Neodiprion lecontei: one gene and its partner. The protein of the gene in region 1 purifies or fractionates together with the protein of each later gene. This does not show direct contact. Links are inferred from orthologs where the notes say so. Each region holds a gene or a part of one and is shown in the gene's direction. Other genes may lie near its edges.

Region 1 (4,788 bases):
AATACACTACGGTATCTCAACATCTAAATTCTATAAAGCTTGGAGAAAAAAATTTTTTACCTGCATCCAAATATGAATTGAAATGTGTTACAGGGGGACTGCTTCACGAATTGTCTAATGAAGGAGCTCGCTGCCAGTTTGAAGTTTTTCTCGAAGACTTGATATTACCACTAATGGTTAACAGTGCGCAACGAGGAGACAGAGAATGCCACGTCGTAGTTTTACTCGAAGATGACGTCGTAGACTGGGATGAAGAATATCCACCCCAAATGGGCGAGGAATACTCACAGAGTAATAAATGATTTGATATAAAATATGCACAATTCGCGATTCACATCTTTCACTTCCCGAATTTGTTTCTCACAGACGCGATAACGAAATCCCGAAATGCCTTACTTTGTAATGAACCGAATCGTTGTTTTTTCGTAGCGGTGAACAGCACGGCCATGTACCGATTTTTTAAATACATTGAAAATCGAGATGTGGCCAAACAAGTGATGAAAGAACGAGGACTGAAAAAAATACGCTTGGGGATCGAGGGATACCCAACGTACAAGGAGAAGGTGAAGAAGAGAGCGGACGGCCGTGCGGAAGTTATATATAATTACGTCCAACGTCCTTTTATTCACATGTCATGGGAGAAAGAAGAAGCCAAGAGCCGTCACGTCGATTTTCAATGCCTGAAATCTAAGTCTGTAACAAATCTTGCCGAGGCTACAGCAGATCCTGTACTGGATGCTGGAGAAAATCCCATAACGGCAATCGGCATGGATCCTATACCTCAACCATTAGCAGCTAATCCCATGGGCATTGATACTGACGCTGAAGGAGCCGTTGGATTACCAGCGGACTCGGATCTCAACCAATTATTACCCGACGAAACCTCTTAAATGATATAATTATACCAGTAAGAACAAATCTGACACATTATCTATACCTGTTTATACACTTTGAAATATATTTAATAAAATTTTCAAACAACATACTGACCCGCTCTATCATTCACACCTCAATTCTCACCCTAGCGTTATTTATAGTAATAATCGAATGTGCGAGTAAAAATCGAGGGACGATAGAGATTAGCCACAATTGTTTAAACTTTAAAAAATTTTACGAACGCTTACGTTTCCCGTGATGTTAAAGTGTAGGTGAAAAATCACTGGATCTGAAAATCGAGGTACCAATAGACGTAGGGGTTCTTTGAACAAAAATAGATCGGCCTTGGGATCAGTTAGCGATTGATCCTTTGATACATTATAAATTATAATAGATGATAATTTACGCACAAATGAGCGTTAGCAAACGGAACAGTCTAATCATGCGTACAAGCGCGCTAGTATCCTTATTCATCTCCTCTAATCGAACTGTAGAAAAATGTAGCGTCACCTTAAAACGAGTGTTACATATTATCCATATTATACACGAACACGTTACATAATTATTGAAGTGAAAAAAACAAAATCTCAAATTTTTCACGCGTGTTTTCCCTCTTTGTCCCATTATCAATTGCGGAGGGTTGAAATTATCACCCGCTGTTGATGATGATTATTTCTTTTTTTCAATCCGCTTTAAATTTATTTTCGCATTTATTCATTCAGTTATTCGAAGTCCAAGCGAAATTAGAAAGAGGAGAGAAGAAAATAGAGAAGGTATCTCGTGATAGAGAGCAAAGTGGAGAAGAAGAGTAGGCGGGTTTGATGGTCTCGCGCGTATATCGTGGACCGACGAAAACACACCTCCGGGCGCAAGCGTCGGTTCGATCAATAAATAGGTTGAGACGAGGGCAAGAGAGCAGTAGTATACGGGTTGGTAACCAGTGAAGGCATTTCCAAAAAATTACAGTACTTAGTGGCGAGGCTGCAGCAGCCAAGTGTGTTCAGCATGCAGCCGCCCCCAAGAAAAGTAAGTGCATTATCGCCGATTAAAAGGCGAACGATACCCGAAAGGCGTGTACCTACCCACAAATTTACGGCGAAGACTGGATTTATTAATTAAACATTTCATCCCCCTCGCCCTGCGAATCGCGGTCAAGTTTACTGTTTACTTTTACATATCAACCGTATAATCGAATACAATATACACGCGGGGGTTTCCGACCTGCCTTATTGATTCTGGGTACCAAATATAAAATTGATACCACCGACACACTAACCGGGAAAATCAATGCCCGGGTCTTTTACCTCCGCAAAATTTTACACGAATACTATATTTTACTTTCGCACCTTTCATTTTCTGGGTTGTTTCGTTATCAATGTAATAATCGTTCAAACTCTCGAATTTTCGTCTAGAATAATATGCAAGGGACTTTGCAATGAATCGAAGATTAAACCGAATCGTTATTCAAATTCAAATTATCGCAACTATCGCAAAACGATCTTCACTCGTGAATACATCCGTCATCGTTCGTGATGTAGGTTTGATATGGATCGCATGCACAATTATCTTCAAAATACATGATCGGCCTTGGCTGTACATAGTGGATATGTGGTAAATATCTACCTACAAATGATGACCTAGTGCACGTTTGATGCAGTGATGCTTCATTCTTGAATGAAAAAATGGCCGTTTATACATTTCGAATGAGATTTATAAATCGCAGGTATGACCGAAATCCTTCGTTAGATTGGTGGACTTTAATCTCATCCTTCGTCCATAATTATACAAGTAAGACGAGCAGTCCTGGAGCTAGTAAAAAAAAAAAAACCTCTGCATTACCCACTTCCTTAATTCACGTCAGAGCTTTTTCTCAAGGTGAAGAGTCTAAGGAAAATTTAATGCGATTATGTACATTATGTGAATATATAAACCTACATATATACAATCTGCGCTTCGGTATTTATGCATAGGTATATGTCACGCCGATGTTACTCAATTCTTTTTTCTAAATACCTAAATAATTATTTTCCGCACACCGTACTGCTGCAGTTTTCAAATAATTCTATATCAGAGTGCAAATCAGCGAATCTTATTTTCAGTAATACGCTATTTTAGTGCCGAATATTGAATTATCTTGGAAAAAAAATGGAGTCATATATATTTTGAAATCATATAATATCATTGATTACGTGAGGCGTGCGCTGTGAATTCGGAAGAGTATAAATATGTGTGTATATATATATGTGTGTATGTATAAATTGTAACTGTTTCATGTTATCGTTATGTAAGCGTAAGCCCGTAAGTATGAATTGAAGGAATTGAAAAACTGAAAATTTAGCAAACGACTATCTGCGGAACATCGTCGCGATAAGGAAAGAAGTATTTGGCACGTTTCTCTTACCGTGTACAATCAGTGATTGTCCCACTTCACCATCATCGTAACTTCACATCGTCGTCGTTTAAAATAATCCGCATATGCCTTATATCTATGATCGATATTCGTTGAGAAACTAGGATATAGGCAAGATTCTCTGTGGGTATACTCTCGTAATGCGGTTCGTACGGTATAATTATGAAAAGCGAAAAGGGCAAAGTACGTCGTGATTGACGCGCATTCCAATCCCATACCAATTATAACCGAATGCAGGTAATTACTGTTTTAAAGAAACGTATGAATATTTTTCGTACAGGGAAATTATGCAAAGTTTTTGAAAAACTTGCATACCGAACAGGCAGCGAAACTGCAGGCAAAAAATCAACATGAATGCGATTTGTTGGAGGATATACGGTGAGCTTGATTACAATTAGATATAACGCTGCGTCATATGTGTTTTTTTTTTTTTTTTGTTCGCTCGCAGAAATTTTAGGAGATCATTGTTACGGCATTTTAGCGTAGTTTTTTTTTCGTTTGTTTTTTTGCCGCTCAATATTCACGTGTTATGGCTGATGGCTATAAATAAACTAAATACGTATATTAAACGTTGTTATATTACCCTATCAATCACATTTGATACTATCTGAAGCGTTGCTTGATTTGAAACTTATCAAGGTAATGCAATAGCATGATAAGTATAAAGTATAATATCCTCAAGGTTTCATCAGAATTGATTTCTGATCGATTAGAATTGAGTACCGAAAGCCGTGCCATCAGTCATAAAAGTGAGAAAACGCTTCTGACAAATAAAAAAAAAAAATTTTATTTGATATATTTAGATTCACGCAAGAATCTGTCTATATTTTCAAAGCGCATGTATCATTATACTGAATATACATATGTATAGTGTAAGAAAAATAATTATATATCATGTTGTATAAATTTGAACGAATTTCATATTTTGTACAAAATAATATTATATATAACGGATGGAATATCTTGCGTTTTGAAATTACTGCCGCAAATTTTTGTTTCGTTCTTGTATACATCATATTATATTACTGTAACGATATATAGCTTTATCAATTTGTACATCTTCATTATAATTAAAATATTCAATTAATATTTAATTGTACAGAAATTTCACGATTAAGAAATCTGCAATCGAAAAGTCCTATTCTGAGGTGAGTTTCAGTTACCATTGTAGTATAGTTATTAATAATTACCCAATCATCGATCTGCCTGTTTCTGTTGTAATTTCCGGTTTACGTTCCTTCTTTCATATATACTTGGTTCCTAATTTATGAATGGGTAGCATCCCCATTCGGTCCGACTACGTATAAAAATACATTCGTCAATATATTATATACCGAAGCATACATTACGCTGTAAATGTTCCAACTTTATATCTATATTTGCATACTATTTCATCACATCAACACACCCTGTTGTACAAATTCTGTTTACTAAATGATCAACGTTCCAATACTATGCCATTGATCGTTTTTCTCTTCACATTGTGAGGTAAAAAGTTTTCA
Region 2 (6,028 bases), on another chromosome or scaffold:
AAATATTTATTTTCTAATCTAATTCTAACACAACTTTGTGTTTGAAAATTATATTTCGGATATTTCAAAACTCAATTATGTGAACAGTATTTGGCAATTCCAAACATTCTAGCACAGTGTCACAATTCCTAGTAAAGTTTTTCAGATGAGTGACAGAAATAAATTTATATGCAACAGTTCTTAAAATAAATTCAGACTATAGCGAATGCGATTACCCCTACGAAAGTAGCACAGAATTGAAGTATAAAGTTTAATCAGAAACATTGCGAGATCAACTGTGTGCTCCGTTTTGTTGAATTACATGTTAAACAGCAGTGAAAGGTACACGCCCCCTTGGATGATATGTGATCGCATATAAACACTTGCTCCGATTGAGCTGGGAAAGAATTAAAAAAGAAACATCCTAATCACGATTCATTGAGTGGAATAACATTAGTTCGAATTATTGAGAATTGATAGTGGTACACAGTAATGGTTTAGAACTAGGAACGTGATGTTTAAATGGTATGCTAAATTTTATACCTTTTTGGCAATTCGGCGCGGTATGTGAGTGGTGCGTACAAGTTGAGTGACTTTGGCGATTGGGACCTCATCAATGTCAGGGTCTTTGCGAAAACAGTTGAAAGTCTCTCCGTAAAGATCGTGTTCCTCTTCGGTCAGCTGTGGATCCTCCATCTTGTCAAATTAACGTTAGTTTAGTTATTCGCGGAATATTGTACCACCTAAACATGATACGGTTAAGGTGACATTATTCTAATACGGTATATCCAAGCAAGATAAATGACACTGGTCATTCATTTTACGATTTACTAGCTACACCCCACGTAAACGGGCATACAGGCACATTCGCCATATTCGTCCGTTTGACGTACGCTCAAACATTGACTAACTTGATCAAGGATTGTCCGTCTTTGTTGAATTCGCGCACGCGTAAATTTTTCCTGAGTTCCTTCTTTACCGGCACTACAATACCAATAATGACGTCATCTCAATTTTTTACTGAAGCTGAACGATAGTGCTGTTCTTCAATGAATGTTTGACGTGTAGTACCTTTCATTGAAGATTGAAGAGCATAGTTATCGACCGTTAGATAAACAAAGGAATCATCTCGATTCCTATTCCTATTATTATCTTGTCCTATGAATACGCTACTGTCTCATTTGCAATTATACGTAACTACTGCGATGGTAGCGCCTGTGCGTACGAAGTTGTCTTTTTCATTTCTCTTCATCGAAATACAATAAGCAGTTGATCTTCTACGATCACAGATCATGCAAACTGCACCATCGAATAACGTCGAATATCGAATTCATGGGTTGATTTAGCGCGCGTGTCAAACGAGGAGATAAAACCGATTCATAGGAAGAAAACGTAGCTTGTAAGGATGACCCAGTTGGGCTAAAATTGTTTACCTGCTGCCTATCAGTTAGAGACACGCCTCGGAAGGATGGGAGTTTTACAGGTCTACTACGGCAGTAATGATCCGCGAAATTGACATTTGCTAGCAGAATCCTCTGCGTATACTTCAGCGAATTACGTGGTTTGCGCAACAGTTATTCAATAATAAATTTCTGCACACTTGCTAGAAATGTCTTGAATACTTTCTGATTGCGGATAAGTGTCAACAATGTAATATCAAAGTGTTGATGTGGTTATACGTAGACAGTGACGGGCAGTGCAGTCTCACTTTGTACATACGTTCAACTGACAGGCATGATTTTGACCCCTGTTAGAATTCATTGCGAATTAGCTGTGATCGTGGTTAATGACTCACTAGAGTCGCGTATAAGTGGATGACTACTCTTTATCCACCCGTTCGTTCGTGTGTACTTAAATCTTGTGTATTAAAAATAGGTTATGTATCTACGAAAGGAAAAAAAGACAATGCTCATCGAACCGGATGCAAGAAAATGTCATCAAGCGTCACTCTCGCTTCCTGTTGAGATACCTTCGTGGGTGGTGTTGCTTTCGGTATACGGTGAAGGCTTACTCACGGATAGGCGGTTGTAAGCGGGCAAAAATGCAAAATCCGCAATCAATTCTACGGTGATTTACGTGCCAGTGCCCTGGGCCGTCTGGGAATCGAATGGAACTTCTGGAGCCGTGGATATCGCTACGTCCATAACCTAAACGTGTATAATATTTTTTGTCGAAAATGAAATCTGGACGCTTGAACGAGCACAGAGGATCCATCCTTCTCTCGAAGGAAGAAAACCAGGAAGTCTTCAAGCTTATTGGGAACCGATGTCAGGTGTGAACTTGTCAAATTTGTCATCACTACCTTTGTCAATATCCTTTCATTGCTAACTGATACTGACCTATATTTAAAGCTACAGGCAATCGTTGTCTACCTACGTGTTTAGAACCAAAGATTGCCTAATTTAGAAGTTCCTGTCGAATACGTGAAAATTTTTCAAAACACTATTACTTATTGAATATACTGTATTCTCTGATCTATGACAACATTCTATGTTGTATGATTATTCGCAGACTCCACCTTGTTGACATTACAAATTTATTATTTTTGAAGCAGTAAATGGTGCATATAGAATTTAGATGTAAACTAACATCTGTTAGTTAGACTTTCGATTTTATGTTTTAGTTATTCTAAATTTTAGTTGCCATTTATTGGATTGTCATTATAATTACCGCATATGTTGGGTATATTTAAAATGCTTGAAGTCATATGATCAATGGCTGATCATTATGTTACACATAATCTGTGATTTTGCAAGAAGTTCTGTCTGCTTATCACAATATTTCAAACATATACTGCTATGACAGGAATGTTATCAATTTCTGGCTTAAGATTATAAAGCATTATCATATTTCATTTGATAACAGAGTATTTTGTAACATTTTTCATATAACACACTTATTTCAACATATAGGCCATTGGGAACCTTCATAAGTTTTTTTTCATATTTAAGCGATATACTATACAATTAGATCATAATTATAACATAATTGTAAATTCCATATCTTCACATTTCACATCAGCGGTCAGTAATTGCATCTAATTTTAGTTGAGACGAGGCAAGCACGCTTTTAATTGTTCGAAACAAATGGTTAATATTTTTATTCAAACTAATATTTGGTCATGTTGTTTTGCTTATGACTCATTTGTTGTATTTTTGTCACAACATGTGAGACAATTGTGTAGCTAACAGTATGTTTTGCTATTTCAGTGCCTTGCAGCTGGTGTGATACAACTATACGTAACTGAGTCTCCATCACATAGGGATTGGATAAAAAGAGATACTGGTGTAATAACACTCATTAAAGATAATCCAAGACGCAGTTACTTTTTTAGGCTGTATTGTCTGCGAAGAAACGCAATGCTGTGGGAACATGAAGTCTATAATTCAATGGATTACAAAGCTCCCATGTCCCATTTTCACACATTCGAGGGTGAAGATTCTATGACTGCTTTTAATTTTGCCAGCGAAACAGATGCAATCATATTGAGGTATTAATCGCTTTTTCTCTAAAACCGCAATAAGAAGTCAAGATTATGGCACAACATGTTTTGCTATGAAGTAACATACAGTCTAATTTTATATATGTTACAATCGTTCATTATTGTCGATGGTTTGATAATAATTTCCTTTCCTCACATCAAAGGTCGATAATTCTTGAAAAGCTTAATGCTAAGAGGCAAAGAAGACAAGAAAGAAAGTCACGAATTAATGCCGATTCTCATCATTCGCTGACGTTGCCAAAAAAGAGCCACAGCAATACCTCAGCTGTAGGTTTCAGCACTGGAAGTTCAACAGACATATCAAATGGCTCTTCATCATCCGCTACTGTCAATAGAAGCGTGTCCAGTAGTTCGATGTACAAAGCTAAGAACCATAAACAGGACAAGGATCCAAAGAGAAGATTGACAAAGGCGGACATAGGTTCCCCCTCAAACTTTCGGTATGATTTTAATTTATTGAGAGTATTGCGCTCTCAACCTTGACACTATAAAGAAATTTGCGTAATACAAATTTTCTCTCGAGAAATATATTAATTGTGTAATATTACCTGTTACAGACATGTGGCACACATGGGTTGGAATGTGAACAGTAAAGGTTTAGAATTGGAATCCGTAGATCCGCAATTAAAGCAGTTTTTCGACACAGCAGGTGTTTCGGATGATCAGCTGAGAGATCGAAAGACGCGAGAGTTCATCTATGACTTCATCGAATGCCATGGGGGCATAAATGCTGTTAAAGCAGCTATAATACCACCTTCGAGTATACAAGGCAATCAACCACCACCGCCGCCAGCACCGACAGGATTAGGACCTCCACCTCCTGTTCCCGCTCGAACTGTTCCAGTTAGTCCCGGACCTCCAATAAGTAGTGTGCGTTGCCATAATGTTAGGAAAAACTATACTAATATCCGAGTTATCTTTTAAGTACATCAGTCATGCTTTAATTTATTATGATCATTTCAGAATCAGCCACGTAGTGCTCCGCCTTTGCCACCTTCAAGAACTGCTGCACCACCTCCACCACCTAATGCCCCTCCTGCTCATCGGCCTTTGCCGGCTCGCCCTGTTGCATCTTCTGTGACATCACCACCATGTCCTCCACCACCACCTCCACCTCCAATGTCCACAAACATACCTCCTCCTCCTGCACCTCCGATACCACAATTAACAGAGATGGATAATGAGACAATAAACAGTAATGCCACTAATAACAATGGTGGATTACCTGATACCAGAAATGCTTTGCTCGATGCAATCAGAAGTGGTACAACGCTCAAGGTACGATGACCGTTTCAAATTTGTTTTTTAAATCTGATGATATACGTTATGTGATCAATTTTTATTTCGTAAATCCGAAAATATTTAATGCACATAAGATGTATCTGAGCAAACTTTTGATTTATTTATAATTTTCATTAATTTTCAGCATAGCTGCAATTGGGATAATCCGTGTTTAAATGAATTCAATTTCGAAATTTCATTTAAAATGTTTTCATATCCATATACTTTCGTGACTCGATTTACTTTTATATTGCAGAAGGTGGACAAAGTCGAGCCCAAGCCAAATTTGGCTGACGATACTAGAGGTAATCTGTTGAGTCAGATACGCCAGGGAGTCGAGTTGAAGTCGGTTGCAAATCAACCAAAATCTGCCCCGTCTCCAATCATACAGAATAGTTTAGCTGGAGCTTTAACTAGGGCCCTAGCAGAAAGATCGCGTGTAATACACAGTGATAGCGACAGTGACGATTCAACGAGTGAGACCAGTGGTGATGACTGGGACGATTGAATAGTTACTTTTGTCTGTAACACTAAAAAGGTATTTGTAAAGATCGATGATTTAATGTGCAGGTCCTACGAGTACCTGGCTTATTATTTACTAGATGAAAATAAGTTGAAAACAAAAGTTTTTCTTTTTTTTTTCCCCAAGCAATTATACTAGGTAATTGAGAGCAATGTAAGAACTATTTTTTTCTGAAAGGGTGCTGAGTGCTTAAAAATTTAAGTATGTTAGAGAGGTGCTTCCTTTTGATACTGATATTTTTCGTATTGATTACGGTATTTTTAGTATAAAAATGAATTTATTATTGTGTTTCATAAAGTAAACATGTAAGTGAGTCCCTAAGTTTCAGAGATACTGAAAACGAGATGCGAGTGTTAATGGTCAATTATTTTATTTATATACTTTAATCTGGCATGCAGCACCCTTTTTCAGCTGGAGTATGGTTCAGAAATGGAATAAAGTGAAACTACTGCGCACTAATGGTTTGCAGTCTCATGCATAGAAATTAATTTATTGTATTTTTAAGCTATAATATGACAGGTTCGTTATATTTAAAGTTAACTATTTGAATTGAAATATGAAACGTTGTGCATGCTTAAATACATTTTGAATATTTTCTAAAGTCTGACTATAGTGATAAGATGTTCAACATGGCGTGGTGATAAAAACACTTCCTTCCTTGTACCTTCTTTCAACACACGATATATAAAAAAATATTTCTGTTACGCATTAATCGAACAGTTTCTTCTGTTTTGGATATTTAC

The links.
Region 2: the proteins of protein nervous wreck (region 1) and neural Wiskott-Aldrich syndrome protein purify together in Drosophila melanogaster (affinity purification with western blotting, with the first as the bait; 3 studies listed by BioGRID). This does not show direct contact. The link is inferred for Neodiprion lecontei from reciprocal best matches to the Drosophila melanogaster genes nwk and WASp.

The regions. Positions count from the first base shown.
Region 1 is NC_060261.1:5,813,549-5,818,336, reverse strand, and holds the start of protein nervous wreck, read left to right. Parts: upstream 1-1,772; 5' UTR 1,773-1,881; coding exon 1,882-1,902; intron 1,903-3,566; coding exon 3,567-3,664; intron 3,665-4,388; coding exon 4,389-4,434; intron 4,435-4,788. Other genes in the region: BTB/POZ domain-containing protein 10, read left to right, coding at 94-291, 430-890. UniProt on the Drosophila melanogaster protein: Adapter protein that provides a link between vesicular membrane traffic and the actin assembly machinery. Acts together with Cdc42 to stimulate actin nucleation mediated by WASp and the ARP2/3 complex.
Region 2 is NC_060260.1:27,945,479-27,951,506, forward strand, and holds neural Wiskott-Aldrich syndrome protein, read left to right. Parts: upstream 1-2,009; 5' UTR 2,010-2,155; coding exon 2,156-2,251; intron 2,252-3,188; coding exon 3,189-3,469; intron 3,470-3,624; coding exon 3,625-3,921; intron 3,922-4,038; coding exon 4,039-4,351; intron 4,352-4,444; coding exon 4,445-4,759; intron 4,760-5,018; coding exon 5,019-5,270; 3' UTR 5,271-5,499; downstream 5,500-6,028. Other genes in the region: ralBP1-associated Eps domain-containing protein 2, read right to left, coding at 523-675.